2 linked regions of the Macaca fascicularis genome follow. The protein of the gene in region 2 purifies or fractionates together with the protein of the main gene of each other region. This does not show direct contact. Links are inferred from orthologs where the notes say so. Each region holds a gene or a part of one and is shown on either strand. Other genes may lie near its edges.

Region 1 (16,528 bases), on a different chromosome or scaffold from region 2:
AAAAATGGCCAGTGTTGTCTTTGGCCTTCAGATTTCAGGGTGGGCACTTCAAATGGCTTCACATTTGCATGTTTCAGCACTAGAGCATAGGAATAGACTCTGGCATCCACTGTAAGATGTTCTTCAGCTATGAGAGCATCGAGTCTCTGCAGCAGGTCATTCTTGGGTAACGAAATGACTTCCACAAATTCTCCATCCCCTGGCGTTGGCTTGGGCCTTAGATTTTCTATATCATCTCCGTTAATGATTACTGTCACAATGTGTGTGGTACAGTTTGACAAACTTGGGTCCATACAGACCACTGGAGAACTTTCGGCAGTGTCCCCCTAGTAGCCAGTTTCTTCTTCAAGCTCCCGAAGAGCAGCTGCTCCTGGGATTTCACCATAATCTATGAGACCTGCAGGGAACTCTATGCAGTAGCCACCTGTTGGTCGTCAGGACTGTTTCACCAGAATGATACACTCGTAGTGAAGCGTTCTCTGCAGCACAGGGATGATCGCTGCATCATCACCAGTCTGTTCTTTCCTGGTTGTACGTTTCACTGAGTCCCAAGTTCCAGTTTTACCAGTAGGAGCCACCTACGTTGTTTTTTCAAGCTTGACCCATTTTCCTTCTGAAATTAACTCCTCCAAAATAATACAGTGTTTCCATTCTGAGAAGATTCAGTTGGTTCTTGGCTGTCCCTTTTCAAACTAGTCTTTACAGCCCTCAGGAGAGAAGTTTACCTCCAAGGTGTAGGGGTGACAAAGGGAAGAGAATGAAAGAACTACTGGAGGCAGCAGTGTCAGCAGGTGCCAGTGCCACGGCTGGAGACACCGGTGCCTACCGAGGTGCTGAAAGGATGTGCCATGGCTCATCTTTTCAAGTCAACCAGTATTTATCAAGCTGCTCTGTGGAAGGTGTGGGGACAGGATGGTACCTGTCCTTAAAACCAGAATGATCAGACTCAGTGGAAAGAGAGTTACAAGAGTTACTTGAACAACTGTTTGTCCCTGATTATAAAATAAGATGGAGTGATAAATACACTAGAATAATAGATAAGCTTTTGGAAAAAAAGTAGAGAATTAGTTCCACCTCAATATATCCAAGACTTCATGGCAGAGTTCTTGTTTGAATAGGACTTCAAAGAGTAAATAGGAATAGGAAAGGCTTGGAAGGATGGGAGGAGGGGAGGTGTTCTGGTTTATGAGTTACATAAGTAAGTACTTGGAAGCTTAGAAGTGCCTGGAATATCTGGTGTGAGTTGAAGCACTGAGTGCATTAAAGAATAGTAGTTTGAGCCAGAGTCAGAAAAGAAGCTTGATGCCAAATCACAGACGGCTGTGAATGTGAGGCTGAGGAATTGGGGCTTGATTCTTCAGGCCTGGTATTGTTTCATGCCAGCAGAGGTGGGAGAGAGAGGGTTTCCCAGCTCATTGACGTAATGAGCCACTGTGACTAGTGGAAATTGCATATTCTTCAGGTAGGTTGGGGTGAAGTTCAGGTAGTTGAGAAATTCGTAGCTCAGAGAGCTTGTCTTCCTTAGAGAGAGTATAAAAATTGACTCTTACTGTAAGTAGTCAGAAGTCTCTTAAGAATACTAATATCAAACGCTTCATTTTAGAGATTACTTTTGATGCATATATTGTAAAGCCACCTGTTTGAGATATGAAGTCATTGAGATTTTTCCCATATATGATTTACTTTATCTTGTGGTGGCTACCCAGTTAAATATATTCCTGAAGAGTGTTAATGTGAGGGAACTAAATTTTTGTAAATTGAGTCATTTTAGAGCAGCAAGAATTTTTTTTTTTACAGATTTCTATTGTGATATAATTAATCTGATTATTTTAGAGCAAGACAGTATCCATCCCACCCCCACTCCTGCTCTGTCCTGTGAACATATGCTTCAAAATTTTTGTCTTGTCAACATCTTGAACTGAGAAGCCAGTATTTAAATCTTAACCTTTATAACACACTGATTTTTACCATTTGCAGATGACAGAATTCCCTGTTATTCTTAATTTAGAAATAACTTACGTGAGTGGACTTGTTTCTAGTTTGTTTTGCTTGCTAAAGAACACAAGTTGTTTGGGTTTAGGATGGGATTTGGCACACCTTTTCTGAAAGGGCCAGGTCGTTAATATTTTAGGCTTGGGAACCGTATGGTAACTGTGCTTGTTGTAATTGGAAACACCTGTAGACTGTACATAAATGAATGGACATGGCTGTGTTCTAATAAAACTTTATATATAAAACAGGAAGAGATTGGGGTTTGCTGACTTCAGCCTAGAATTTTCTTCTGTTTAAGCTGATTTCATATCTAAAAGAAAGTAAAAGACAAGATGTCAAATTACTGCATAAGTTATTCCTATAACGTAGGCACCTGTGGCTTATAGAGACTGCTGTTTTTAAGTGTTGCTATGTTGCCTTTATATGTATAACCATAAGCAAAAATTTCTTTCATCCTGCTCTACCTTTTCCTCAAATATTTTGACTACCCATCACGTACCAGATGTTAGGCTGAGGATAAATGGTGAAGAGGCAGAGTGGCCCCTGTCCTCACAGAGCTGTAGACCAGTACAGGGGGCAGACAGTAAGCAAACAAAGTAATTCTAGGCTGTGATAAGCACTATGATGTTATCAAGCATGATGCTGAGAAGGAATTGGGGGGGAGTGGGGTATCATGTATATAGAGTGTTGAGGGGAGACCTCCCTGAGGAGGTGAAGTTGAAGCTGAGACCTGAGGCCAAGAGGATTTAGTCATGTGAAAAACCTGATGGGTCAGAAGACAGTCATCCTCCCCTTCTCCCTCCGTGGAATTTCAGTCAGTATAAACGTGGATAAACTATTCACATTTTCAGATAAAATATTAAAAGCTATTTTATAATATTTTCCCCCCTCTTTTTAACTTCCTTTTTAGGTAAGACTAAAAGCAATGAGAACAAGTGGAAATTTTTGTCTTCTGGTTAACACATGCACATACATTCTGAGTATACATTGAAGTGTTGGCTACCAGGATAAAAGTTTTAGCATTGTGGCCTATTATTTAGAGCCTTTGGGATGTGTGGAATTTGTTAAGCATTGTTCATTTGCATTTTATAAGGTTGAAACTGCCTGTGTTTGTGTTCTCCTGGCGCTCCTGAGGGAACATGCAGTGGGAGAGCGCCCTCTGCTGGCGACTCTCCCTCATCGTGCTCTGCCTACTGTAGCCAGTGGGAGAGGCGAGGCTTCCCAGAGGGTGTGCTCCAGTGGTCAGGTTTTGGGGTCTCACAGGCCTTCCACTGTCATATCATAAGCTCTTTAGGTCACGTTTAGGAGAATATTCATAAATAGACTTGTACATCCCTAGCTCCTGTGCTCTGTTGCTTTTTTCCTTATCTGTGGCCCTCTAATTACCAGTGCTCTTTCCTGGACTGATTACTGACACTGTGATGGCAGATGAAGAGGGCAATGTAAACTGAGTGAAGCTCTTGTGTTTTCACCTGCTATCTTTGGCAGCTAAGAACCACCTAACGTTGCCTCACTTTACTGATACATGCTGTTGACAGATGCACAAAATGAATATAAAGTGGATACGTGTGTGGTAGCATTTTGAATCTTTGTACAGGAGGAGCATGTCCTACGTGAAGTGATCATCCTGCGGGAACCTTGACCTAGAGGGATTCACCGTGTTGGCTAGGTTTGGGGTGTTTCATTTTTGTTCTCGGGGTGTTTTGTTTGTTTGTTTTTGTTTTGTTTGTCATTGTTTGTTTTTCATTTTTATTTCGTCCCAACATTTTCCTTTATGGTCCACCATTAGATATTGATCAGTTGAAGCTCATTTTAAGACTCGTTGGAACCCCAGGGGCTGAGCTTTTGAAGAAAATCTCCTCAGAGTCTGTGAGTTGATGCTTTGTAATTATCTGCCCTGTTGGGAGCCTCTGCCACTTGCCTTCTACCAATCTGTACTTTGACCTGGGTGTGTTTGTAAGCACACATACCCTTTGTGTGCTGACTTCCAGGATGAGTGAGGTATAAGATAGTGTGAGTGTGTGTGCGCGTGCACGCATGTGTGCCTGCTTGCATGCACAAGTGTGTTTTATTCTCTATCTGGGTACACACTAAGATCATGAGAGCCTCTATTAGGCAATAGTATCCCAGTAAAGCAATGAGATTTGAGATTCTAATTCATTAATCCAAGAGATTAATGCAAAATGTGTGTCTCTGTCCTCAAGCTCTGACTTTCATCTTTCTCAGAAGTTTCACGTATGCTCTAGAGCTCTTTTCACTGTTTCTAGTGTTTGTTCTCAGCGCATGAACTTCACCATGTATTTAGTGTAACTTAATCACTAAAAGAATAAAATGTACATTGTCTGCACACTGTTGCCCCTTCCCATAAGTTATTTTTTATTGTTTTAGAATAGATACTCACATATCCTACGTAAAATGTTCGTTCCCAACAGAGGGACCTTTCTACCCAGTCCCTAGACCCCACTCAGAAGAAACAACTCCACTCTTGATACCTCAGATCCACAGGAATGTGGTTATAAATTTTCCTCCTATTGCCTTATAATTATAAGTTAAATAACCCGAGACAGAGTTTGGAGCTAGTGCTTTCTTGCTTCTAAGCAGGGACTTAGACAGAAGCCATGGGAATGTGACTCTGGCTTACTTTTGCTTGATTTCCTGCTCTTGGTCATTTTCTTGGGCCAGAGGCATGAGAGAAGCCATGAAAGCCCAGTTTTTTTTCCTTTTTCCCTCAATCTGCTGCCAGGCAGTGGAACAAAAGAAAAAATGAGCTACGGAGCCAAGCTCCAGTTATGCCTTCCTGGATTCTCCTCCCAACATTTATGACTGAAGGGGCCCTTTGCCTAGTTGGGAAGACTGCTGGGTAGCTTGAGGCAGGCATAAGTAGGTGAGTTGGAACTGTTCATTCACCTTCCTGACAAAATAAAGAATACCGTCATCTGGTATGTATCCGGTACATTTCTTGAAAGGATGCCAAAGCCCAGTGTATTTCTGAACCTCCACTCTGAATTTTGTTTCATTTACTTATTTAAGATAAAGAAGCAAAGGCCCAGAAAGGCAGTGACTTTTCCACGTCATGCACTGAGTCACGTGGCAGAGCTGAGTATAGATCCCAGATGCTGGATAACATGATCCAAACTATAATCGCATGTGATTACATACTATTTTGGAAGTCGTTGTCAGTGTTACCACAATGTCAACCTAAAGAGGTATTTTTTCCCCCTTTATGATATATAGAAGCTGGATTAGAGTGAATCAAAGATATCAGATGATGCTTAGAAAGGGCAGTACTTTTTTTTTTTATGTTTTTTCTTAGAAACACTGTCTTACAGTAAGAGGCCCTAAGGGCAGAGGGAGGACTGGGAAGGAGCTCAATTAATAAATAGTGCTAATGAGACCAAGCAAATTCATTTCTTTCCTGAGAGTGACTCTTAGCAGCCCTTTCTTAGTCTTCTCTTCCATCCCAGCCATCTGCCCTATAGATATGTACTATTAGTCGCAAGGAATTCAAACCAAAGTCTAGGTAAAATAGTCAATAGTATTTATCTCTCATTAATCCATCACTTATTTTTAAGAAAGAAACACTAGGTGCACAGCCTAATAGTGGAGGTCCCTCTGTGAAATGAGGCACATTATATATTTCAACAGCTCTACTGAAATTGAGTACCAGAATACAGAACTTGACTCAAATAATATTATATTGAGTGTAAGAATAAGAAAGTTTTTTTTGTTTTTTCCTACATAATTGGGGCAAGTGGATAAAAGTAGTTTAAACATCCTAAGGGGTAGACAAGATTAATTTCGTGTTCACGACACGGCCCAAGTACCGTTTATCTTGTGGTAACATAATGGATAAATAAGGCCAGGTGAGTAAAATTGTTCAGAGATTTTTAAAATTTTAAAAATTAAAGAAAAAAGACATTAGTGAAGGAATGCAGAAAATAGGAAGCCAACAGCTATTTTCATTCTCCTGAAAAGTAGTGAAGTAGCGATGCCAATAATTATGAAGAAATTGAATGCTGAGTAAGAGAATGCAGTAATGGATTGAGAACCTATTAGGATGAGCCATAGGAAAAGGTATAAATGGGTTGTGATGGAGGCCAAGGAAAGAGAATTCATTTGATTAATGTCCCAGTTTTTGTAATAATCAGTGAAAGAACAAGAAAATCATGTTAAGAAAGCAAAAGCAGACTGGGCACAGTGGCTCACATTTGTCCTCACAGCACTTTGGGAGACTGAGGCAGGAGGATCACTTGAGGCCAGGAGTTTGAGGCTGCAGGAAGTGGTGATCGTGCACTGCACTCCAGCCTGGGTGACAGAGCAAGACCTTGTCTTTAAAAATAAATAAACTAATTAATTAAATTAGATAAAAAAGCAAAGACCTGACTCATTCATATTTTCCTCCAGAAATAGAATCTTTCTAACTTCTTGACAGAAAGGGGATATAAAAAATAACCTCTTTGACTAAAGGAGACAAAGACAGAAAATGCGCAGGCCAGGTATTGTTCACAGAAAGGAAGGAGAAGTGGAGGATTTTTACATTTTAAGACCCAACTGGTATATTGCTATTGCTGGTTTATTTTGTGGCCCCTTTTTGTTACTTCCCTTGGCATGAAAAGTGTCATTTGTTATGTGATTTGTTAAAGGTAACTCTAAATTCTGTTTCCTAAACTCCTAACAAAACAAAGAATTCCATCATCTGGTATGGATCTGGTACGTTTCTTAAAAGGACCACAAATCAAAGTGTAATTACTACCTCTTTTGGAATTTACTGGCCTCTGTCTTTGGGTTTAGGGAGCGTGAAAGGCAGCGTGGAGCACATGGCTCTAGCTCTCTCCCTGTGGCCAGCCTTAAACAGATTACTGCTAAGTCATCTGACCACTAGGGAGTTCAGTTCAGAGGACGAGCTAAAGTAGAAAAATTATTTGGGAAAGCCACAAAGAAGTAAAATTGCTTGGCCATGGTGCTTATTGAAGATGATGCTTCACCTGAATGAGGGAATTAGTAGTTAACAAGAAAAGGACTACAAAAGGGGTTTATTGAATTACATTGAAGATTTTTAAAATCTCCTCACTTCTGCTCTTGGTAGGAACATGATAAACAGTTCTTACATTTTAGAAGAGGGCAAGTTGTATTAACATTGATAGAACAGTTAAAAGAGAGAAGTTGTGGTACAGCTTACATATGTGCCTATACATATAGAAAATCTCATAGTTCTGCCCTTGTCAGATACTTGCAGAGTATTTTGCAGACTTCCCTCCACCTGTTTGTTAAGTGAGGTTAGTCTGTTCGCTTGTTGAAGAGACTTGTGGAGGAAATCATGTGGCATGCTTTAACACTGTCAGCAGCCTGTGACTTCTGTTTTGCCTTTGCCATTAGCCTCTAACCTTCTGCCCGTCTCCTCTTTCTTCATTTACCATTTTGTGTTTGTGGCAAGTATTTTAAATGTACCACTAAATAATATCTTTGAAATGTGGCATTGCTTATTAACCCAGATGCCTACGTGTATCTTAATTCGGAGGGATGGTGCCTTGGAGAACCCGTGCTGCAAAAGTTTAGTCTCTTTCTTGAATGGATATGTTGGATATTTTATTTTGTTCAAAGTTTGAGTCAAAAATTTTAGAATCATCTATATTTCTCCCACAAACAGGTTTTGGCCGTCAGTACTTGAAAACAGTTCTCTGGCTGGCATCCTGGATCAAGGGGCAGTCTGTTTCCAGGGAACCTAAAATATTTAACAGTAAAGATGATGCTAAAACCAAAGAAAAGTAATTTTTCTTATCTGCATGGCCAGTCACTGACTACATGCCTAGTTACTCATGTCATTCACAGAAGCGACTCATGTCATTCACAGAAGCTTTAACATGCAGCCTTGGGTCCTCGGGTAGGGTGAATGGGGGGTAGGTTTTTTTGTTTGTTTAGGGGTGGCTTTTTGACCTTTTTAAAAACTTGAGTTGAAAATTATTTTTTGCACTGTATGTTTAACAATGCCCTTGACTAGGCATCTAAGATATTAACCAGCTTCAGCAGATTATGCGTCTGACGGGAACACCCCCCGCTTATCTCATTAACAGGATGCCAAGCCATGAGGTGAGAACAAAGAGACTGTACAGGGATGTCGCACTGAGAAGCCACGTTCTCATTTTATTGCCACTGTATAACCAACAGTTTTTAACATCACTGGATGCTTGCATGTGCCTGGAGGCCTGCCTATGTGCTATTGCAGGATGTTGACTTTTGGGATAAAATGTCATCCAGTCTTGTGAGATTGGGGATGGAAAATTGTTATTTTTATATTTGGTTTTGTGAATTTAGTGCTCGTGAGGCGGTTTCTTTCTAGGTGCTATGCCTGTAGCTAGGGTGTGCTACTATCATGACCTTTATCAGAAGGGTAGTTAACTGAAGTCCATTAGCATGCTTTCTAATTCATCCACTTTTTTAATGACCAAAAGAGAATTCTTTATTTAAAAACAAAACAAAACAAAACTGAAATATCCAGTACTAATACATACTATATTTAAAAGAAAATACACAAATAATATAAAATAAATACAAACACTTTGGTACAGTTAGGTACCTTCTTTATTCTTAACTACTTAGTCTAACTCTTGTTTTATTATCAGAGGTCATTGGGGCACTTCTTTCTTTCTAAGATACCCTTAATATTTTAGGGAACCGGGTTGGCATCACAGAGAGCCCCTCCCAGCAACTTTGTTTCTACTTCGGCTATATTCAGGTCATCTGTTGATTTATCTTTATTAAAGGGATGACTGTTCTCTGAATGAGATAATTGTCTCTTACCTGTTTTCCCTTCATCTTTTTATTTACATGTTCAAGTAGAAAGGGATTACAGCCATTTATATATTCAATTCCTACAACTTTCTTTTCAAATCAGAAAGATTCTCAGTTGCTTTTCAAAGCAGACCTTTCCTCCTGACTCCACATGCAATCATTAAGAAGGTGAAGGCTGGGCGTGGTGGCGTGCATCTGCAATTCTCAGCACTTTGGAAGCTGAGATGGTAGGATCAGTTGAGCCCAGGAGTTTGAGACCATCCTGGGCAACACAGCAATACTGCAGGTCTACAAAAAAATTTAAAAATTACGGCATGATAGCACACGCCTGCAGTCTCAGCTACTTGGGAAGCTGAGGCAGGAGGGTTGCTGGAGTCAGAAGTTTGAGGCTATAGTGAGCTGTGATTGTGCCAGTGATCTCCAGCGTAGGCAACAGAACAGAGACTGTGTCTCTAAAAAAAATTTTTTAATAAATAAGGTGAACTTGCCCAAGCAACCAGATTTTGTTTTTGTTTTTGTTTTGTTTTAAGATAGGATCTCACTCTGTCACCCCAGCTGGAGTGCAGTGGCACAATCTTAGCTCACTGGAACCTCCACCTCCTGTGCTCAAGCTTCCTGGGCTCCATCTCCCTGCTCAAGTGATCCTCTTACCTCAGCCTCCCAAGTAGCTGGGACCACAGGCATGCATCACCATGCCTGGCTAATTTTTTGTGTTTTTAGAGACAAGTTTTCACCATGTTACCCAGGCTGGTCTCAAAGCCCTGGGCTCAAGTGATCTGCCCTCCTTGGCCTCCCAAAGTGCTGGGATTACAGGCGTGAGTCACCGTGTCTGGGCAACCAGAACTTTTTACAACCTTGTGTGTGTATGTGTAAACATAAATATACATACATACCTTTACTGTTGGACTGTATTAAAACAGAAATTTTAAAAAGGTGGTTAAGATAGACAGCAGACTTTGCTTTTCTCTGAAGGTGATAGTGGGATAGCAGATAATGTTTCTTGAACTCTCACTTGGAACCAAGTACTGTGTTAAGAAAGTACTAGGTTTGTTATCTCTAATCTTCACTCCAACCCTGTGAGGTAGGACTGTTATATTAAGTTTATATTAACTTTTTTGTTACCAGTGTTACTTTGTTAGCAAGGTTTAATATTGATGTCCTTTGATGTGCTAAGAGCACCTGCTGAAGTCAGCACTATCAAAAGACTGCTGGTCCAAGACTTACTTTGGGAATACCAACCCTTCTAACAATTTTAGCTTTTTGAGAAGGCTGTCTCAGAAAGGGCTACTTCTTACATATCTCGGCCTCAGTTTTTAAACTTCTCATCCTGTGATCAGAAAGCTGATGAAAGAGAATTTGATTGATGAGTATTCTCGTTCACTTGAAATGCAACTGTGAGAGATAGCAGGAATAAAGAAGGTGATGATCATAACTAGGAAGTTAGGATAGCAGTAAGGGAGAAGTTTTATCAAAGACAGTTATAAACATTGGAGTTAGTGGACTTTGTCAGTTAACACTCGTTCCTTAGCAGGACCAAGGTTCTTTCTTTGAGAGAAGTAACATTATTGAACAAAGTAATTCTGAAAACCCTTGTTTTTTCAGGCAAGAAACTATATTCAGTCTTTGACGCAGATGCCGAAGATGAACTTTGCGAATGTATTTATTGGTGCCAATCCCCTGGGTAAGTTGACAATATCCTCACCTCATGGATATTGAATTGGTTATGATATAAATTGGGGATATGAAGAAGAGTTTCTCCTTTTGACCAAATAACGTACCATTAGTTGAATCTTGGAAGGTGATAAATATGGCTTTTATTATCTATTTGTGTTGTCAGATTTTTTTTTAATTACATGAGATGCTTATATGTTTAAATGATCACAGACCTTGGGGTCGGGGGAATGGGCAGGTACAGTGGAGAAAGGAGAGAAAGTAATAGGAATGTTGAGATAAAGGATTGGAGAGGCAGGAAGAAGCAGATACAGAAGAAAGCTGTAGCTTGTTCACAACTGCTGTGGATTCATGGTGTCCCTGAGTGGAGGACAAAAACCACTGAAGTACAGGTGGGTGTTTAGAGGACCCACCCAGGAACTCCCTGCAGGGTGCTCTGCTCTGTCAGTAGCTGCCGTTGCTACAGATCCTGTCATCTTCCACACACATGAACTTTTCCCCTCCCTTATTCTTTCTCTGCCCCTTAGAGGTGTAACTATCCTCTCCTCTTTGTGGAGCTTATTTGCTACCTAAACTTAAAGAAATGGCTTCATATGCCTTCAAGATCCTTGGCAGAGGGAAGTGATGGTGGCAGTTGAAGATATGTGTTGCCTTGGCTAAAAATGCAATTGCTTTATTATTATTATTATTATTATTGTTATTATTTTTTTTGGTAGTGTCAGGGTCTCAGTCTGTTACCCAGGCTAGAGTACAGTGGCACAGTCATGGCTCACTGCAGGCTTAAACTCCTGGGCTCCAGTGATCCTCCTGCCTCAGCCTCCCACATAGCTAGGACTACAGGCATGCATCCCCATGCCTGGCTAATTTTTTAAAGAATTATTTGTAGAGACAGGGTCTCACCATCTACTAATCTTTGTCTCCTGGGCTCATGCAATCTGCCCACCTCAACTTCCAAAAGTGCTGGGATTCAGATGTGAGCCACCATGCCTGGCTGACTATATTCTTTGAAGGGGAGGACTGATGTGTGCTTCAGATGGTCCCTGAAAGCTGCTTTGCCTGAGCCTCATTCCCTGACTCTAGAAGAGGGCAGTGGACAGTGCTGTTTAATGGTAGACACAGAAAGATCAGACCAGGACCTCCCTACAATAGGGAAGGGAGCTATGCTATGATAACGAGTATAATCCACCTTCTCACTTTTCTTAAGATTGTATTGCGTGGTATGTTTTAAAATCTCACTGCATTTCTTTGCATCTGTGTGGGTCATGTGTCTTCTTAAGGGTCTTGGCAGCTATGCTTCAGGTTTAGTTTTATCTTTTTGAGGGCCGACAGCCATGCTGACTTCTTTAGAAGCTGGGGTGAAGGCTAGGTGATTTTACCTTTTTAAGTACTTCATCCATAGTGGTTATGGAGAGGAATTTTAGTGTCGCAGTGATAATTCTTACAATAGCAGAGATGCTCATGCTCTTTGAAGTATTGGGCAGTTGTGGATGAGTTCGTGTCAGCCTTGGAGACGGAGAGTATGTCATATCTCAGCTGGGTTGCTCTCCTGCCCAAGGATGAATCCACAGTCTCATCAGGGGTAGGTACGATTCTACTGAGATTGGTTTAGGTTTGCATCTGCCCTGGCATGCTCTAATTGACTTTGTATGATTTATTTGAGCTGAGAAGCTCTCTTTGAGCCTTAAGTACTACAGGATGTTGGGAAAAGATGTTGTGTTCTTTCTTTTTTTTTTTTTTTTTTTTTTTTTTTTTTTTTTTTTTTGAGACGGAGTCTCGCTCTGTCGCCCAGGCTGTAGTGCAGTGGCACGATCTTGGCTCATTACAAGCTCCGCCTCCTGGATTCAAGTGATTCTTCTGTCTCAGCCTCCCAAGTAGCTGCGACAGCAAGCGTGTGCAACCACGCCTGGCTAATTTTTTGTATCTTTAGTAGAGACTGGGTTTCACCGTGTTAGCCAGGATGGTCTCAATCTCCTGACCTCGTGATCTGCCTGCCTCGGCCTCCCAAAGTGCTGGGATTACAGGCATGAGCCACTGCACCCGGCCCGTTGTGTTCTTTCTTGTCTGTCATTCTGTTCTGAATTTGTCCAGAACAGCCCTAAGCCCTAAGTTTTAAACAGGGCAGTACTCACTGACACCCTCTTAACGGACTCAGAAAGATTTGTTAATTCATGTTTTAGTGGGAGAGGGGAGATATTTGTGTTCCAGCAGCTTATTTAGGTCACATAGCTCCTGATAGGTCTTCCCATTCTTTGAAATCATGACGTTGAAACCGCCAAAAGAACTAGATACCACTTTGCTAATGAGTTGAAAGGAGGCTTTGGTCCATCTGGTGCTCAGCACTGTACTTCTCAGCATTTAAACGTGCCTTACAGCCCATTGCCAAACAGTGATGTCATATAATGAGGTTCCCCTTGCCGGGCAGATGGAGTACAGTGTTACTCTCACAAGCTCATGCCCAGCATATTAACTGAGCAGGAACATGCCAGCAATATAAATATTAACAGCTCTGTTTCGTCAGCCACTGACTTTGTTTCACTGCTATTCCCAAAACATGAATTAAAACTTAAATTACCCCTTGATGTTAGTGTATATATTTATCTGTCAAGATTTTTTTTTTTAAGAAATAGCATCTCACTCTGTCACCCAGGTTGGAGTACAGTGGCACAGTCATGGTTCACTAAAACCTCAAGCTCTTGCATTTAAGTGATCCTTCCTCTTCCCTATCCCAAGTAGCTGAGACTACAGGCGCATAACACCATGCCCAGCTAATAATATCTTTGAGGAATCTTTTTCTTGCCCCTGACCTTATTGGTTATAAGAACATGGTAGTTTTTACCCTAGGGGTAATAGAGACTTGTCATATAATCTGTGTTCAATTAGAAAATCAACAGCTGATAAGGTTTCTTTTTCTAAGAAGAGAAGACCATCAGAAGAATATATGTATATATAATCCAGGCATTCACCTAGTACTGTACTGTAAAGTGTAAACTAATGAACTTGAATTGACACATGAATATTCACTTTGTTTCTGTATCCCCCTGAAGCCCATATTTCTCCAGTGGATTACTCTGGAATTCAAGCTGTAGGACAGGGGTGTTTTACAGCCTCCAGTATACACAGCAGTCGATCTCCATAGAAAGCTGTCTTCTTCACTATTTACCCCCACCCGCTCCACATTTAAGAAGTAATTTGCAAAGTCTCAAAAGCCTATTTCACCACAGTGATAACTGGTTATATGGCAGTATTTATCCTCCCAAGTGCTGCCATGCTGAAACACAAAAATACTCATTTGAAATACAGAGTTAGACAAATCACCATTTTGTAACCCCTTATGAAAGAAATAATTGCTTTTGGAAAGGAAACCCAGTGAATGCAAAAAGCCATAAGTGAAAGGAACGGATATTTATTTGGTACCAAAATATCCCACAGATTACTTGCTTTGGTCAAAGGGGAAACATCTTAACCCAGTGACCAATTTTAGTTCATTAGTAGTGGGACAGATGGCCTTAATGCATTATCACATGCATGGCATCACCTGTATTTTTGCTGAAAATGTTTGACCTGATTCTTACCTAACTTCTGGTTTTTGGGAAGTACAGGGGATAGTGGAAAGCAGGGTATAGACACATGACAGCAAAAGAAGCAAAATCAGACACATCCCGAGAAACAGTCATTCTCAGGACAACCAGAGGGTCTCTTCAGATCAGAATCGGGAAGGAACAGGGCTTAGAAGTAAGGAGATTATTCTAGACTATGGGAGACTAAAGAAATCCAGTTAGTTGCAGTGCATGGCCCCTAATTGAATCCTGGTTTGAACAAACTAGTTCTAAAAGACAACGTTGGAATAATTGGAGAAATTTTAACATGAACTGGATTTTAGATGATATTTAGAAATTATTTGTCAGAGATGATAACAGTATTATGATTATATAGGAAGATGTCTTTGTGTTGAAATATTTGGGGAGGGTAAAGTATCATGTCTATAATTTTATTTTAAAACAGTTCAGAAAAACATATAAATAAATACAAAAATGTTAATTGTTGAATCTGTATGCTGGGCATGTGAGTGTTCACTTTATCCTTGTTTTTACTTTTCTGTTTCTGTATATTTGAAATTTTTCATAGTGAAATTTTTTTAAATAAAATTCCCTTTGATTTTAATACCATGTCTCACCCCCATCACCATGTAAAACCCCCAGTTTATTCACTGTTTGAAGATCTGTTTGATGAATATTTATTTGTCTTATGTTAGTAAATAAACAGCGAAGGGGGACAAAAAACAACAACAACAAACACACAAAAAACAGTCCTGCCTACCTATTCTAGATTACTGTAGCTGTAGGCTTTTGTTTTTATACAGTTTGACTACACTGGTAGCAGTTTTACATTGACGTTCCACAAAAGCCTGTTCAAACACAATCCTAGTCATTTAAAAAAATTCTTCTTTAGTAACATGTTCTTTAAAAATACAAAATACAGGAGGAGGGTGAGGGTTGAGAAATAACCTGTTGGGCACAATGTTCACTATTTGGTTATTGGGCACACTGGAAGCCCAGTCCCCATCCGTGAGACCCATGTGACAAATGTGCACGCGTACCCCCGAATCAAAAATAAAATAAAACATTTTAAACATACAAAATACAGATACACACACACACGTAAAGGAGAAAAGGGCCAGTATATCCTAGAGTAGGTATTTTTGGAGGAGAATTCCTTGTTTGGATATGAAGGGTCAAAACTATGTTTGCTTAATAAGGCATACTTTTTTGTAACATATTAAAAACTATTTTCCTTCCTGTCTATGGTACTGATAGCTGTCGACTTGCTGGAGAAGATGCTTGTATTGGACTCAGATAAGAGAATTACAGCAGCCCAAGCCCTTGCACATGCCTACTTTGCTCAGTACCACGATCCTGATGATGAACCAGTGGCCGATCCTTATGATCAGTCCTTTGAAAGCAGGGACCTCCTTATAGATGAGTGGAAAAGTAAGTCCTAAGGGTAGGATTAACATCTTGTACCACTAACCGAAAGCGGTGGGAAAATAAAAACTGAATGGTCATAACCAACTTGCTAAAGCTTGTAGTTGAGGTCTGTAATGCAGAATGAATATGTTCTCTGGTGGAAAGTGTTGTAGACAGTGATACTCTCTGGACCTTTGAGATACTTAACATCTGGTCTGATTTTATGCACAGCCCCTCACATATAGGAGCTTTGCATGGAGATTTGAGGTTTTCAGAGTTATTGCATTTACAACATCTCTCTGAGCTAAGTAAAGAATAGGATATTTTTACAGTTTTACAGTTAGTAGAACTGGGGCAAAGAGAATTTATGTCTTATCAGTTAACTTAGAACTAGTTAGGGACATAGCCAGGAATGGAACCCGTGTATCCTGTGTCCAGTCCCATATTCTTTCCATAAAACACAAGTTCAGAACTCCAGTTAAATCCAAAGAGCCAAGACCATCTGTTGCCGTAGCTTGTGAGAGTGCTCTTTCATTCTTGAGCACCTCCGTAGAGAACTTAAGAGGCATTCAGCAATGAAAAACATGAGGAAAAAAAAAGGTTCTTTTCTATGTCCCTCGAACTTCTGTGTGATAACGTGCTCCATTAGAATATTACATACCAGCTGTGAGGTAGCCCATCATACCACTACCTGGACAGGGAGGAAGGATCTTGAGTGAAGTCAGAGTGCTCGCCAGCAAAGAGAACAGCCTAAACTCTCACGTCTTACTTTTCCTTCCCGATGTCTAGGCCTGACCTATGATGAAGTCGTCAGCTTTGTGCCACCGCCCCTCGACCAAGAAGAGATGGAGTCCTGAGCACCTGGTTTCTGTTCTGTCGATCCCACTTCACTGTGAGGGGAAGGCCTTTTCATGGGAACTCTCCAAATATCATTCAAGTGCCTCTTGTTGCAGAGATTTCCTCCATGGTGGAAGGGGGTGTGTGTGCGCGTGTTAGTGTGTGTGCATGTGTGTGTCTGTCTTTGTGGGAAGGTAAGACAATATGAACAAACTATGATCACAGTGACTTTACATGAGGTTGTGGTGACTTTACATGAGGTTGTGGATGCTTCA
Region 2 (17,144 bases):
CTTTCTGTGGCAGATATCATTACTATAATAGGTACTTATAGTTACATTATATGGTACAGAAACATTAGAAAATTTGATCTTAAAATAATATTTTAGCATTACATCTTTCTTTTTCAAAACTACTAACATCCTTCATGTTGGGAAACATCAATGCTACTCTAAATGTGTCAGCATTTGTAAATGCCTTGAAGATGAAAAATGCACTCATGGGCCAAGTAGAATCTTTCAAATCCCCTTTTAAAGGAAAAATGGCTTTCACTAGCTTTTGAATTTGACTCACAGAACAACTTGTAAGATTTAACAATAAACTTACCATAAAATATAACATCCATGTTATCTCTAATACTAATGGCAATGAATGGGCTTTTGATTTTTGATCTGATCATCTCACATAAAGTGATTTTTAAATAATTCACAAAATAGTCTCCATTCCTCAGGTGTAAGAATGTCTTCTACAAGAAAAAATGTGTGGGATCCAAAAACTTTATGATTCCATAAAGACCATATACACATAAAATGAGAGAGAAAAATGTATACAACCACTCAAATATTCAGACATGTTGTATGATGATTTGGTTTTTATTTCAGAGAGAAAAGGAGGGTTGAATTATTTTTGGTCTTGATTTGTTGAAGCCACTGTCTCACACTCCCACCTGGTTTTGGATGTGTAAATGTCTTATATTTGCTCTAGGTAGATAATAACCAATCAGTAATCAGGGTTAGGAGTTCCGGGTCCATTCTTTAGTGGACAACTATCATGCTATGTTGCTTATCTAACTCTCTGAGCTCTTTAAATTAAAAAAAAAATTAATCTCATTCTATTCTTAAGTAGTACTGGAAAATCATGCAAGAATGTCTACACATCTAGAAAGAGTTCAGCACACAAGTACACTACAAATAACATCATGCCCATGGGACACAAACTTATCCTATGGACTATATTTAAATAGAAATTTTTCTGTCCCATCTCCATTTCCTTGTTGTCAATAAGTGTAAATTGCATTAAGAGAAGAGTAGTAAAGTCAATTATCTTCTTTATGGTCATGAAGATGACATATAATCTCTTGGTCAATGTAAATTAATTTATCATAATTCATTTTACCAAATATATTTAATATACGTATTCATTAATTGAATACTTACTGATGCCATACTAGGTAACCAGCATAGTTCTAGGGAATAAGTATATAGAAATAAAGCTGCAATTGTGTTATTGTTCTCAAAAAACTTCAGTATACAGGTTAAGTACATTGACAGAGGAATATACAGGTTTGAAAAGGGAAATGTAGGAGAGCTACTTGAATGAGGTGAGGCATTCAAGAAAAGAAGATTCTCGAAGTGGGCTATGCCTGATCAATATTTGAAGTTGGAGAAAGAGTCATCTAAAAAAGGAAGCAGAGTATTGGTATTTCAGAGAAGTAGAACAGTACGTGAAATGATTCAAGACATGGCAAACTAAAGGAAATTTTGTCTTGGTTTGACATTAGTGTGCAAAGGAGGGCATGATGAAAAGACCTCATCACAAAAGACTTTGCCTTGAGTTTGGAGTTTATTCTAAAAGAAAAGGAGATAGCTGTATTGAAGAATTTTATGGAGAAAGAATATGATCAGGTATGCTTTTAAGAGTTTCACCTCTTACATTATTATGAAGAATTTGATAGGAGGTCAACACAAGATATTATGTGAGAAATAAGGATCTGTCCCAAGGCAGTGACCTGAACATGGAGAGTAGAGAAGACCTTATGAGAAGAGTTGGTAACCTTTAAGATGAAAGAATTTGATAGGAGGTCAACACAAGATATTATGTGAGAAATAAGGATCTGTCCCAAGGCAGTGACCTGAACATGGAGAGTAGAGAAGACCTTATGAGAAGAGTTGGTAACCTTTAAGATGAAAGTAGCAAAGGGAGGATCTAGGTTGAATTATTCGTTTCAGACCTGGGTCATTGTAAGGAATCCTGGTGTTACTCACAATATTAGGGAATGTTTCTAAGAGTAATTGTGATGAGAAGTGTTGAGTAAAAACAGTTGAATATAAGACTATTGTGGGGTCAGGCACTGTGGCTCACACCTGTAATCCCAGCGCTCTCTGAGGTTGAGGCAGGAGGATTGCTTGAGCCCAGGAGGTCGAGGCTGCAGGGAACCATGATTGCAACGCTGCACTCAAGCTTGGGCGACAGAGTGAGGCCCTGTCTCTAACAACAATAACAACAACAATAACAACAAAAAGATTACTATGGAATATACAATGACTTCTAGGTAATTTTAAATATAGAACCAGAGTTCGGGAGAGATAACTGAGATGGAAATGTGGATTTTGGAATCTTTGACATGCATATCTGAGTATAATTATCCAGGGAGATTGTATACAGAGAAAAATAACAAAAAATCAATGAGAAGATGTAGAGAGCACTGACCATTAAATAATACACAGCAGAAGACCTAGAAGTACAAACTGAGAAATGGCTGGAGAGATAAGAGGGAAGCTAGGGAGTAATGACTGTCTGTGGAAGTCAAGTGAGGAAAAATTTTAAAATTTGGAAAGGGGTCAAAATAGATGAGTACTATGGAAATGCATTGATAACGAGAATGTACATTATAATGACCTATTTAATTATGTTCAACCATAGGATGATAGGATGAGGACTGAAGTTGATAGAGAAGTAGGTGAGAAATAAAGAAGAAAAGGCTGAATGTGCATAATGCATCCCAGAATTTTTACAAGGTGTTAGGCAGGATGTGATTTTCAATGGAATATGCGAGGTGCTATTCTATTGGAGGTGCTAGAAATACGTCATTTCAAATATACATGTTCCTATGTCTCTTAAGTACCTAAGAAGCAAATCGGTTTTTTCCAGTGCATTAGACTCTCTGTTTGTAAATTTGCTGATCCCTGTAGCCATTCCTACATGTACAAGGCATTTCACTGAGAAGTGAAAATGTAGCCAACAGCAAAGCATTTAGGCTGCACAACATCTGGCAATCAGTTTGAAAGACTTTTTTCACTCAGTTGATTAGTAGCTCTGGTCTAACACAAACCCATCCTTTATTGCCCTTCAGTTCACAATGACAGCAAAATCTGTTAGAGATAGTATGTTTTGGGGGCATGTGAGGCAACATGAGTTTTGGACAAATGAGCTCCATTTAAGTCCATTCTGGAAGTGGCTAAGTTGACTATGTGTGTTTTTTCTGGGTGTTAAGAATATATTAAATGCAAAAAGAAGAGACCAGAAATATCACTTATCATTATTTATTTAACATATTTATTTAATCTTTAGAAAGATTTTATGTCAGGAACTGCCCCCAGGTACTAAGTAGCCCAGGATCTCCAATACATGTAACAATAAACAAAACAGGCAAAAATATGGGCCCTAAATGGGCTTACATTTTAATACAGAGAGGGGAAACTACAATAAACAAAAGTAAAATAATTGTATGTTAGGTGGTGAAGACCTCTGGGGAAAAAATAGTTAATAAGCAGGGAAAGGGTGCTAGAATTTTTATCTGGGCGATGGGGGGAAGGGAAGATGAAATATGAAATAGGATAACCTCACTAAGAAGGTAATATTTAATTAAAGACCTAAAATTATTGTGGGATTAAGTTATGGAGATACCTGGAGAAAGAAAAAAGCAAAAGAGTATGAAAGGGTGAGTGCCTGCCATCTTCTAGAAACAGAAGGATAAATACGGCTGGAGAGAGATTTAAAAAAGAGATAATATCATAGAAATAATGTGAAGAGAGACTCTAGACCATTGTAAGGTCTATATTGAGTGATTTTCAATAGGAAAAACAAATTCTAGAGTTCTAAGGAACATCTTAAAATCTTAAAATATATCATTTACCTGTTAGTCTATCCTTTCTTTTGAGGGTGGTACTTCTGCAAATCACCTCCCAGATCTTCTTGGCACCATCATAGAATACCTTTCTTCTCAGAGACTAGAGAAATTGACTATGCACTTCTCTGAGAGTGAAGAGATAGTTTCAGGAGATACACTGAAGGCAGTCTTTGTGCCATTCAAAAAGGCTGATAGTGAGAGCAACACGGAAATTTGAAAGAACCTTTTCCAGAACTCAAAGAGAAATCTATGGATTGAAATCAGTTTCTGTATTTTGTTAGCAAAACATTCCCTAGGAAAAAGAAAGCTTTCACATGAGAATTTTTGATATATCTCAAAAATGTACTCTTTTGCAACTAAAATACAACCCTATAAATAATATCTCCTCAAACGGAATATGCTTCTTTGGACAAAGAAAGAGGAGAAATGCTGAAGAAAATAAGCTCTGTGGATCTTCCACATAATATTCTTTTACCATTCGTATTATTGTGATGGCTTTTAATTGCCTTCTTGAATATTCCTGAAGTGGTATTTTCAACTGGAGTTTATATATTAAACTGGTTCACAGAAAGAGTAAAGAATAAGGACAGTTAGGTAAAAAGTATTTTGTACCACTAACTTAATCAATGGTGGCTTCACCTATTGTAGAACCAGTGTATAATTTTATACAGTATGCAGCCACGGGTCTGGAAACCTGGGCTTTTATCCTGACTATGCTATTAACTAACATTTTAATACTCTAGATCTTCATTTTCTCACCTGTAAAATAAGCAGTTGAATGGACAATAACCACAGCTTCCTTGTTAGGTGATCTATAAAAATCGGCTGCCATGGGTAGAGTTGTGTCCAGCTTCTCTAACAAGAACCAAGCTTAGTAATCCTTTAGTGTTAATTTACCCAGAGATGCCACTTACACAGCACTGTACCCACTCCTCATTTTTCTCCCACAGCTATTATAGACCACATACTTCTCCCTAGCCAGAATTCAGCGTCAAAATCTTCTTTTTTCCCCTGACAGTGTCTTAGGCAACCATAACCAAAATAATGGGAGATGGCACTCAAGTTGCAAGCAATTTGCTACTTATCATTAGGGGCATGGTTATATTGAAGGCAACAGTTCCTAGTATAGCTAAAAAGAACACTTACATCCCATCAACCCTTTCCTCCCATCTCTAAAGCATTGTAAGATGTCATCAGTTCCACCAGCATAAAGCAGTTGCTGATACCTTGGGCATAACCAAAATGGATCAATTAGCTTTACAATTAAAGAGACGTAAATGTATAGAATTCATTTCCCTTCTTTATGAAGTCGGCCTCTGTCCTGAGAGAAAAGTCTTCCACAAAAGTAACAAACTCACACCTTCAACAAGTAGAGATACTAGTGATTTCTTGATCTTTGTCATCCTGTCCACTTATTTTGTTAATCTCCAAATGTATAGAAGCTTAGACCAAGGAGCTATGTTTGTTTCAGTTCTGATGAAAAGCCCTAACAATGTCATTAGATAACTGTGATAAATTTTAATCTGATAACAGCTTGTGACCCACAAATTGCTGTTTAAAATTAAAATGCATTTAAAATACAACTGGCAAGAGAACTATAATATTAAACTTGCAATCTGTTGTGATAAAACACCAATATATTTCACCATATTAAATATGAATACAATGAATATTCAGCATCTTGCAATTGAAATATAAAAATGTCCTTAAATGCATTGTCTTATTAAATTAAAATTGGTTGATTAATCTTACTTTTTATCTTTGTTTTGCAGTTAAAAAGTTGAAGTAGAGATGGATTGGATTGGCTTTGGTAATACACCCTTTGGCAGAGCTCCAGGTATAATCTAGGGCTACAAGCTTTTAGGTTTCTCATTTGATGAGCAAAAGTCCTCTATTTTTCTCATCCCCAATATTCATCTACAGTAAATTAAGACATGTTTTTCACATGCTTAAAAGTTTATTTATAACTTTTAAGATATAATTACTCAAGGTGTATTAAATGTTATCTTTAAACTCTTTTATATGTTAGTTTTGAAAAAAATGACTACGCTGCTATTGTTGGCAGACCAACTAAATCATTGCTAACTTAGTAAGAATTGAGATTTTTCTGTAATGAATGTTTGTATCAGTCTATTATTAAGCAATACTATAAATAAAACTCAACCCAATGTGTATGTTTTTGTCCCATATTTCAGCATTGAAGAATTGTATGTGGTAATGAAAGAACTCACTACAGCTGTTTGCAAATAATTTAATAATCAAGTCATAGCTATTTTCTGGTTTTCAAAATGTACCAAAGAACTATTGAAAACCCCACAATATAACATCATAATTATAACAATTAACATGTGTATTTAATAATAGCTTTAATAACCCTATGCATTATATGCTCAAAAGATTCATGATACATTTAAATAATAGCATTAGCTGGAATAAGAAAGAACCATATTTCACTCCCACTATTGTACACAGAGAATAAAATTCACCCACTCTTTTAAAAAAGATACCGCAAGGATTGTAATTTCAAACAATTATTTTTACTCATTACCCCTAGAACATAGTATACGCTCAGCAAATGTTGGTTGAAGGAATGAATGGATATGTGTGATTGGATGAGACGCACACTCAGGGAAAATGCCTAGTCTCTGGTTGTTACAGGACTGCTGCATGGACAACTGCTGTCACAGTAGGGTTTCTAAAATATCTCTGCCACATTTTATTTCGGTTCATGTGTATGTGACAACGATAAGGAATTCAGCCCAGCAAGTCCTCTGCATAAAATAGAGGTGCTATGTATCCAAAAAGCAGGGACACCACATATAATATCTCTCAGGTTTGCTTCCACACGATACTTGATATTGATTCTGGTGCCTCAAATCTATTTATATTTGGGAGCAGTCTCACTGTTACTCTTGGTTACACCTTATCAAATCTGTCCTAGGGACAGTGCCTATCCCAGGGTTTGAACTGTAATTTTTATTTTTATTTATTTTTTAGTGCCAGCGGACGCTAGCCATGGTGCTGAAAGAGACAAGAGGATTCTATTTGAAACCTTTCCTTCCTCTTATTGGTTTAGAAAATTCGAGTGACAAGAGCAGGGGCCAAAGGAGCCTGGAGCAGCATCACTAATGTGAACCATGTATTTCGATCTTTGGGGCGGAGATGTGGTCCATCAGGTTACAGCCAATGCCTTCCTATGGGCGCTCGCTAGACCAAGAGACCTTAAGAATGTAGCCGCTGCAGTAGAAAAGCTTACATCCAGCAGAATGTCTTGTCCCTCTCCTGAAAAACTGACAGTTAAGTGCATAGCCTAGAAACAAGAGCAGGGAATCTAGACGGAGGGGAGGCGAAGGGGGGAGCAAACCTGCATTCATATTGAAAATGTTCACTAGTTTCGTGTAAGGGAAAGAAAAATCAAAATCTAATTTTAGCTTAAGTTTTCGGCCTCAGTTTTCCAACAGGTGCACGACTCCCTCACCCCTTTCCTGTCAGGTACTGTCCTGCTTTACCTTTTTAGAAAGGCTTTCTTCGCAAGACAAGCTTTTCCTAGAGTCCTTAAGCATGTGCAGTTGCCCATCTCATGCACAGCTCCGGCTCTACGCCTGGCAACCCCTTACCTGCAGTGTGAAGATTAAGGAGCAGGCACAGCGCAGGGAAGCCGACTGCTCTCCACATAGTGTTTGCATTGAGAGGTGGACGAGAAACTCCACCACGACCCCTCTTCAGGTAAAGTACTATTAGAAAGAGCCACCGCCAAGGGTCTTCTAGTCTCCGGGATTCGTTCGCAGGTCCTCGGCTGGGGTTTGCAGAGCAGTCAGTCTGTGGCGCCGACACAAACCAGCACCGGCTTCAACCTCCCTAAGAGAGGGAGAGAGGAAGAAGAGTAGGAGGTTGCGGGCAAGGGGAACAGAAGCGCTCAGAGGCGGCAAATGCCTGGCCTTCTGGACGCCCAGAAGCCAAGGCGGAGACGGCAGGGTGGACTCCGCGCCAGCCCAGCAGCCCAGCAGCAGCGCCGCGGCTACTGAGCATGCCCAGCGCCGGCCCTCACGAGGCACGGGAGTTTCAAAGTGAAATTCCGCTTCTCCGGGTCTTAGCGGCGGCTTGGAGCAGAGTAGGCTCCATCGCTGGGGTGGTGGTGGTGAGGGGTGGGGGAAGGGGGAAGTGCGGGGGAGGCGCTTGCTGTGGTTACTAGGGACCCAGCGTCCATCAAAAATCCGAGGGTGGGGTGTAGCTGGGTGAGAGTAGATGGGGGTATGACCAGAGAAGCCAGAGGGGGGAGCTGATGACAGCGTCAACCATGCCACCTACCCTACTCTTTCCCCAAATCTTGATTTACAAGTGGACCGAGCTCACTGCCTAGAATTGGCGTTTGCAGATTGACCAGCTTCCCAGGACTCGCCTACAGGAATAGAGGTGTCTTCCACTACTGAGCATTCTGGCTGCTTGGGGAAAGCGTTCCCAAGGCAGCTTGCTTGGTGTAAGCGTAACCATATATCTCGCGAGCGCCTTCGTCCTTCCTACAGCTTCCCCCTCTTTGCTTCTCTTTCCACTCTTTCCAGCTCAATCCCTGTATTTAAACTTTCTTCTGACTCAAGTCCTCACAGTGTGACAGAAAGAAGTGAGACGATACTTTTAGACTAGTAGAATATATCCATGTGATTGAAGCAAAAGAAGGCACCTTTTTGTTTCATGGAGGTAATTATCTTTAGTTTCCCTTTTACTCTTTATGGTGAAAGATAATAGATCACTTCAGTGCCGGGGCTCATCCGGCCCAGCTCTGTGGGTCTAGGGAGGCTACCACAGTCTGCCTAATGTAGATGGTTTTTTATCCCCCCATCTAAGTCTTTGGAGTGTGGAAAGCGTTATTAGTCATGGCTAATTGCCGCTAGTCAAGTCAAGAAGGCCCTCAGCTAGACTTCTCTCTTTTAACTATCCCAGGGCCACTGCCCTTTTTGCCTCTGTGTCTTCATGGATGTTGTTGCGTCTTTCCTATTTTCCTCCACTTGCACCACTACCACACTAGAGTTTTCGAAGGTGTAATGTTGGTCTCACTTTTCCAGAAAGCCCTAACTCTAACTAACTCTAGATTACAGTGATCTTTCTCTTCCATAACACTTGTTTAGCAGTGCCTCATGTTATTCTTTCAGACAGTTCATTTATCTGTGGTTTGCTTTACAGTACATTGAAGGCTCCATAAGAACTGCTGAATTTTGGATTCCATTAAATTGAATAAAGTTGTCCTAGCCAAATAATTGGGGCTAACGAGTGCTCATCGAGTTGAGCTGCACATCTCATTCAGTGCTTTCTTTCTCCATCCTCTGTGAATTGAGACAACTAATGGGAAATAGGCTATCCACCAGAGCTTAAATTAGGTGGGACCTTGCAAGATCAGAAAGCCCAGACGGTACCATTTATATCTTTTATGATTTATGTCAGCTTCAGCTCTGAGAGCAAGGCCAGGAAGCACTCCAACAAGTGGAAGAGGGAGACAATGAGATGTATTTTTAATAACTTGACAGGCCTTCTCTGCTGAAAATAGAGACATATGCAGTCCCTCTCTAGCAAGTGCTGTACCCCCTACTCCCCCATGCGTGTGGCACACTCCATTTCTGTGGCACTATCATTTCACCCCAAACCACTCTAAGCTGCAACCTCTTCTCCTATTCCTGATTCACTGTCCTCCATTTTACTTTTCTACTTACATATCACTTTCTAACAAACCAAAATAATTACTTATAAAATCCATTGTTTAGTATCTATTTCCTTACTCCCCCAAAAATGGAATTTGAACTCCAATGGTGAAGAACTTTGATGATTTTATTCACTGAACATTCCCAACTCCCTAGAACAATGCTTCATGCAAAATAGATACTCAGAAATGAATGAAAATAATAGTTGATAAAGTTCAATACTGACAATTAACTCTGAAATTCTTACTGAATCAAACTTTGAGATAATTTATTTAGCAGTCTGTAAAGCTTAGAAGAGTAACTCTTCTCGTCTAACATCTGGTACTAGAACTGCTGCAGGGCTGGAGGTTAGGGAAAAATAATTGTATTCCACTTACAATAGGTCTATTATTCTTATTTTCTTGTTTCCTAAAATAACTAACTATCAAACTTACATAGGTCTCCAAGAATAAAATGTACTTACTTATGGTAATGAAACAATGCTGCAGTAATGTTCTGAACCCCTTCCTTTTCCACAGATAATTCCAACATTTATTGGTGGGGCATTTACAATTTCCATTATTATAATTGACTATGACTTTGCCAAAAAGCATCCTGCTGGCAATGTATTTTGCCCAGGGCTACAGGTAGCTGAATTATTAAACTATGCATGAAAATTCCTTTAGCAGCAAAATTTTCCAATTTCCAATTTGGCCAGATATATCATTAGAATAGTTCAGCATGGTAAAAATAACCCTGAGTGGACTGTAATTTTGGTGACTAGACATTCATTATTAATTTACTTAAAAATGATAAAGTAACAAAAAATGTCATATGCCTGTGTGAGTCAATCTAATATCATACTTGTAATGGCTTCAATTCACTTTTTCACTAATTGGCTAATTCACTCATTGCTGTTCATGAAGCCAAACAGCAATGAGTGAATTAGCCAATTAATGAAAAAGTCAACCACTTAACTCATTCAGAAATATTCTGAGTCAACAGGTGCTGTTTTTCCTTAACTGTGATCTAATACTAGAGTAAAGGTGACTTGGTGTTTTGGAATAAAAGCTTCATTAAAATACTGCATCAGGGTTTTTAAAAGTTAGTTGTAATTCAAAGAAGCATGGAAATTACTATGAGAGAACCATAAAAATTAGTAGTGGCCTACAGAGCTATGTCAGAAAAGAATCGTTTACATTTGACAAGATAAATTAAAAATATCATATGGACTTTTCCTCCACATAAGATGCATCATTTCTTTTCCTTATGAGGTGAGTCTTGGAGAAAATTTACACAAGAAAGAAGCCTTTCAGAGCCTGCCCTCAAAATAGATTTGACCATTATGAGCATCCATATTTACTTCTCTATAAGTGGGTGAAAATTATTCATGTCAGCCATCTTTCCTTAAGACACTTTAAATTGAGAAATCAGATCCATTGATTGCAAGGATCTCCTACTTAACTTATTTAGGTTACTATTATTTAAGTATAATTATGGCTAACATTGTGCTTCCTGTGTGCCAGGCTCTATTCTAAGCATTTAGATGTCCTATTTAAACATTATCATATTTCTACAAGAGGGTACTATAATGATCTCATTTTAGAGATAAGACAGTTGAGGCATGGAGAAGTAACTTGCCCAAAATCAAGTAGTAAGTAATCAGTTAAAAAGTAAATTGATAGAATTAAGATGTACCTCTGATAATTTGATACCAAACTACTATATTACACTACCTCTAATAACACACACACATGCACACACATGCACACACACACTCAGTTGTAGGTGGCTCACTAGAACTAGATGATTAGATCAGGGCTGGGCAGGAGATACCTGACCCCACAGTAAAGCTCTGTGGTGAGGAACACTCATAGGAGATTATCGCCAGGAGAATGAGAGACACGCTTGTGGTAGTCGACTCTGGGCCCTACCATCTAGTGAACAAAGACAGCAATTAAAATCATGCTTAGAGGAACTGTGTTAGAAAGATGCTTCAGAGGGAATGGAGAATAATGAAGGAAATGATTTCTTCTTTGGAGGGTGGGAGCAGAGGAGGGGATGGGCAGCAGGCAAGAAACTGGTGGGCAACAGGAAATCAACTGAGTCTGGCTGGATAAGTAGGTTCTGACTGCTCTACATAAAGAGAAAGGCCATGGAATTGTGTGAGCCAGTGGCAGAGATATAAAGCAACAAAATGGATTCAAGGAACTTCTGAACATGTAAGGGAACGATAGGTAACAGTGATCAACACCTCATTAAGATTTGTTCTGTGCTTGCCCTTTCCCATCTTTTATGCCGTCACTTTATCAATCCCAAAGTCTATATCCTTTTGTCTGAGAGCTATCTTTTATAAGAGGAGAAAAGAAGAAAAATAATTTCTTTTTACAAAGTAAATAATTGATTTGAATTAAGCTATGGTCATAGTGGAATGGCTCAGGTTGAAAAGGAATGAATTGGAAATTCACAGATGAAAATATCATGTTCAGGTATATAAATTTACCATTCTTTTTTTAGTATTTTTCCAACCGTAACAAGAAGAACGATCTACCCTTTTGCATAAGCATACAGTGAAGAAAACAATGAAGTAGCAAGGGGGCAATAAGAATAGGGGAAGAAAAGCACTATAATTCCAAAAATACATATTATCACATTGAACTCTCACAAGAGTTCTGTGAAGTATTTTTTTTTTTTTTTTGTAATAGAGGAGAAAACTGAAGCTCAATGAAGCTAGTAATTTGCCTATAGTCATCCAGTTGGTAAGTGGTGAAGTTGGGATTAGAACTCAGTAGGGTGACCCCAGCACTATGCTGTTACCGGCTGTATTGTACAACATCTCTGCTTAATGACAGAACTTATTTTAATACTTAAATTGAAAACAGTGTTCTTATCCCAAGACACAGACTTCAAGATGGATAACAATATTACATTTTATAACTTAACACAGTTGCACTTTTGTTACATTTTTCCACTTAAAGCATTTGATACACACACACAAAGGCAGCAATATGTATCCTAAGGGAAAAAATTAGGTACCTAAAACAAGGCAGATAAACTTTTCTGTGCATATGTGAATTATGCTGTTGTAGTAAAACACAAAATACCAAAAGCAGAAAGGCTATAGATACCTATAGATTCTGCTATTGGTTCATCATTAAAATTTTATTCAAAATGGAGAACAAAGTTTCCTTGGAGCTAGTCCTTGGCACCAATGTATTATATTGTCATCTATTCTGGCACTGCAAAGGTCAGATTCATCTAAGATGTCAGTAATAGATTTATTTACAAACCTCTGACTGTCCTGCATTAGCTCTCTGTTTATCCCAAGACACTAATCAGGCTACACTTATACCATCCATCATCCTGAGCAGTACCCAGATGTCACAGCCCTCTGTTATGGCTTAGACTATGTACTTTGAGCATTCAAATACATTTTCTGCAATCCTTGGCCATTCTTTTAGATTTCCTTGAATGAGGCCACTTGGGAACAACTTATTCACACAATAGCCTGGGACACTAAGAATATCCTGGGATTTTTAACTATGGGTTGATTAGATCATTTAATCTTGCTCTCATTTCTGTACCTTATTTTCTCACATAACTACAAGATGATTTAAAAGAACATCACCCAAATATAGGCCTTAATGCCTCCCTCACTGACTCTTCATTCTTTAAAACTAAAAGTTTTAAGGCTGAGCGCAGTAGCTCACACCTGTAATCCCAGCATGTTGGGAGTCTGAGGTGGGTGGATTACCTGAGGTTATGAGTCCAAAACTTGGCCTGACCTGGCCAACATGGTGAAATCCTGTCTCTATGAAAATTCAAAAATTAGCCGGGCATGATGGTGGATGCCTGTAATCCCAGCTACTTGGGAGGCTGAGGTGGGAGAATCCGTTGAACCCAGGAGGCGGAGGTTGCAGTGAGCCGAGATAGCACCATTACATTCCAGCCTGGGCAACAGAGCAAGACTCCATCTCAAAATAATAAATAAACAAACAAATAAATAAATAAATAAAAGTTTAAACGTTTTAAAAATACTTATTTCTTTCCCTCATTCTTGCTCCTGGATGTCTATAATCGAGAATGGGGTTGTTTATTAGTATATAGTTTGGGGTTGCAAAGCATTTCAGAAGGAATTTTTTTTTCTTGTTAGACACCTGCACCTCTATAACATGAAGAGTTAGAGAAAATCTTACTAAAAATGTCCATTGACTATAACACAACCCCTAATACACCCAGACAATGAAGCAGTTGTTTATGGTCTTAAATTCAACTCATTCATCAGAAACCATATGTGATAGGGAAACACTGGTGCCTATGTTCAGTGAAGTCAAGTCATTTGAAGTCACGTTATGGTAGGATGTACTATATCACATATATTCCAAAAACAGTGGAATTATCTGCTGACATTTCATTGATATGTTGTTTGATTTCAAATAATTAAACTATATATTGAGTACCTACGATGCACCAGGAAGTGTATTAAGTACTTGGGATATATTGTTGAACAAAATAGACAAACATTTTTGCTTTAGCTTAAATTGTAAGTGAAATAAATGTACCTTTAATAGTAAATATAAGAAATAAGTAAATTATATAGTATCATGGAAATTGTTGACTGCGATGAGAAACACAAAAAGTAGATCAAAGTAAGGGAGATTAGGCAGTTGGGGGTGGGGTAGTGGGAAGAATATGAGTGCAAGGAGTTTGCAGAATTAAGTAGGGTCTTTAAGTAGAGAAAGTGAGCATTGAGCAAGGACTTGGAAGTTGAAATTAGCTGAGCAGATACCTGGTTAAAGAACTTCCCAGACAGAGGGAATAGCTACAGCAAAGACTCTCAAGATTCCATAGATATTTTAACCAATCTGGAAAAAAAAACCCCCACAGTATCAGAAATAATTTTCAGCATGTCTCTAAATATATAAAATATATAAAGAGAAATCCAGTTGGCAAATTGCCAAATTAGTTTAAATGAATATTTTTACACCAGAGGTTTTCATTGATTCATGTTTCACTGATTTCAAATACAACTGTGAGATAGCAAAACTGTTAACAAGATTCAGAAATTGGGACTATCCAAAGCCAACTAATGTACCAACTAAGAAATCTGCTCTTTATTCCATGTTTTTTGGTGTAAAATAAACACCTTATTGATTTTGAAATGTGGGTGCATTTTTTGATATTTTATTCACTTTGAGAAACAAAGGAAAACTTTGTGAGCTGCCCTTATACTAAAACCACTAGCAAAAAGTCAAGCAAACATAATATGAATGAGAAACATAAGTAGGAAATGAGACTGGGTGCGGTGGCTCACACCTGTAATCCCAGCACTTTGGGAGGTCGAGGCGGATGGATCACCTGAGGTCCGGAGTTTGAGACCAGGCTAGCCAACAGGGTGAAACTGTCTCTACTAAAAATACAAAAATTAGCCAGGTGTGGTGGCATGTGCCTATAATCCCAGCTACCTAGGAGACTGAGGCAGGAGAATCGCTTGAATCTGGGAGGCAGAGGTTGCAGTGAGCTGAGATCATACCACTGCACTCCAGCCTTGGTGACAGAGTGAGACTCTGTCTTTAAAAAAAAAAAAGAAAGAAAAGAAAAGAAAGAAAGAAATATAAGCAGGAAAAGAATGAGAAAAATGCCCTAGCAAGCATTTTTGTTTTCTCGGCCTCCTGTGTGGCAAATGACTTCAGAATATTTGGTTAGTTATTGTCCAAATTCTGGAGGAAAATGGTTTGACAAATTCCTTGTTTTTTAGGATGGCTTAAGCAAATCATTTTGATACTTTATTATTTTTGGATGAAATAGAAGGTAGCTTCATTTTATTTTTAAATAAAATTCCTTTTTTATTCAATTTAATGTGATAGGTGCCCATCAAAATACTACTTTACTGTTAATATAAATAGAAAATATAAACCATTTCTCTTACAAAGGTGTCATTTGGAACCTCTAATCTTGGAAGTACTTTACTTTAGGAAAGATATCTACCCTCAAATTTGACTTCCAAACTTAAACTAAAATCATATATTAGGTTTATATCATAGAGATTAGAAAATGAACTCCCTTCAAAACCAAATTCAGCTCCAAAACTGGAAATAAAATGAAATTTTATTTGAATCAGTCACAAACATAATATATAGAAGTCCAATTTTACCTCACTATTTCTAGAAAGTAGGCAAAAACGAGGATATTTCTGAAGTTTTCCTTCATCTAAATTAATTCTCTTCAGAATGAAATTGAACATTGTAAATTACAGAATTTTGTCATTTTGTGTCTACTGCACAATAGACAATAGAGAAAAAACAGAATAGAATGTGATCTGTGGATTCTACCAACTGGTAATAAATACAGTTAACGCTTTGGCGTAGCTGGTTTTCTTCTACCCTCATCTTGGGAATGTGTGTGTCTTTGCATGCATGTATCTATAATTATTGTTAGTTTTAACATTATTTTTACATCATTGGGATCATGCTATGAATTTGGAAACTATTTATTTACTTAATAATACTGTGAGATAATTCCATGTCATTAAAGTTTGTTCACAATCATATTTTTAATTGTTGCAGAGCATCGTGCCATAGCATTATATCATTGGCTTCTTATTTTTTTGAGCTCTTCCTCAATTCAGATGAATTGCTTCAGGAGAGCAAGGAAAGACATTCAGATAATGCTCACTTACCGTACTACATAATCGAAATTATTACATATTTATAATATATTTCCAACGTGGCAGTTCTAATCTGGCTCTGGTGAAACCATCACCCCATTAAAAGAAATTATCTAAAGTGTCAAAGGCAGGCATCAGGAAGGGAACATCAGGGATTCTGAGTCATACCTCAATCCCCAGCAAATTAAGGATAATCTAAATGTGTGCCTTCCAATCACGAACCTGTCTATTTTAAGAATGACGGCTAAAAGCAGGGTTTGAATAAGGAGTCTTCATTTGTATTTTTCATGATCCCTGGATAACTCAATTGACTAACACTGATATAATTACAACAGATACCATTGTGTAAAAAGTACTATAATATGAATTGTATAAACAAGAGTTAAAAGTAATTGTGCTATTTCTTTTATGTTTAGAATTTTTTTTCTTTGCTTCTCATCTTTTTAAAAATATTTTTTATTTCTCTAGGTTTTTGGGGAACAGGTGGTATTTGGTTACGTAAGTTCTTTAGTGGTGATTTTTGAGATTTTGGTGCATCCATCACCCAAGCAGTATACACTGAACCCTATTTGTAGTCTTTTACCTTCACCTCTTCCTACCCTTTCCCAGTGAGTCACTGAAGTCCATTATGTCATTCTGATGTCTTTGCATCCCCATACCTTAGCTTCTGCATATGAATGAGAAATACTATGTTTGGTTTTCCATTCCTGAGTTACTTCACTTAGAATAATAGTCTCCAATACCATCCAGGTTGCCACAAATGCCATTAATTCATTTCTTTTTATGGTTGAGTAGATACTGGGTATCTACCAGTAGTGGGAAATCTATCTATCTATATATATGATATATATGAGGGAATTTCCTTTTTATATCTTTTGACTATTTTCACTGTTTTCATTTTTCTAGTTAGTTTTTGGAAGTTACATATTCTAGAATTTAGAAACTAAACTTTTAATTTCCATTTATATTGCT

Evidence for each region.
Region 1: the proteins of PTPRR (region 2) and MAPK14 purify together in Homo sapiens (affinity purification with mass spectrometry; 4 studies listed by BioGRID and IntAct, counting the BioPlex papers as one, with this or other methods). This does not show direct contact. The link is inferred for Macaca fascicularis from reciprocal best matches to the Homo sapiens genes PTPRR and MAPK14.

The regions. Positions count from the first base shown.
Region 1 is NC_088378.1:135,564,771-135,581,298, reverse strand, and holds part of MAPK14 (mitogen-activated protein kinase 14), read left to right. Parts: exon of another isoform or gene 1-697; intron 698-826; exon of another isoform or gene 827-850; intron 851-3,781; coding exon of another isoform or gene 3,782-3,861; intron 3,862-7,999; coding exon 8,000-8,079; intron 8,080-10,383; coding exon 10,384-10,462; intron 10,463-15,266; coding exon 15,267-15,440; intron 15,441-16,205; coding exon 16,206-16,273; 3' UTR 16,274-16,528. UniProt on the Homo sapiens protein: Serine/threonine kinase which acts as an essential component of the MAP kinase signal transduction pathway.
Region 2 is NC_088385.1:77,648,889-77,666,032, forward strand, and holds the start of PTPRR (receptor-type tyrosine-protein phosphatase R), read right to left. Parts: upstream 7,860-17,144; 5' UTR 7,512-7,859; coding exon 7,454-7,511; intron 1-7,453. UniProt on the Homo sapiens protein: Sequesters mitogen-activated protein kinases (MAPKs) such as MAPK1, MAPK3 and MAPK14 in the cytoplasm in an inactive form.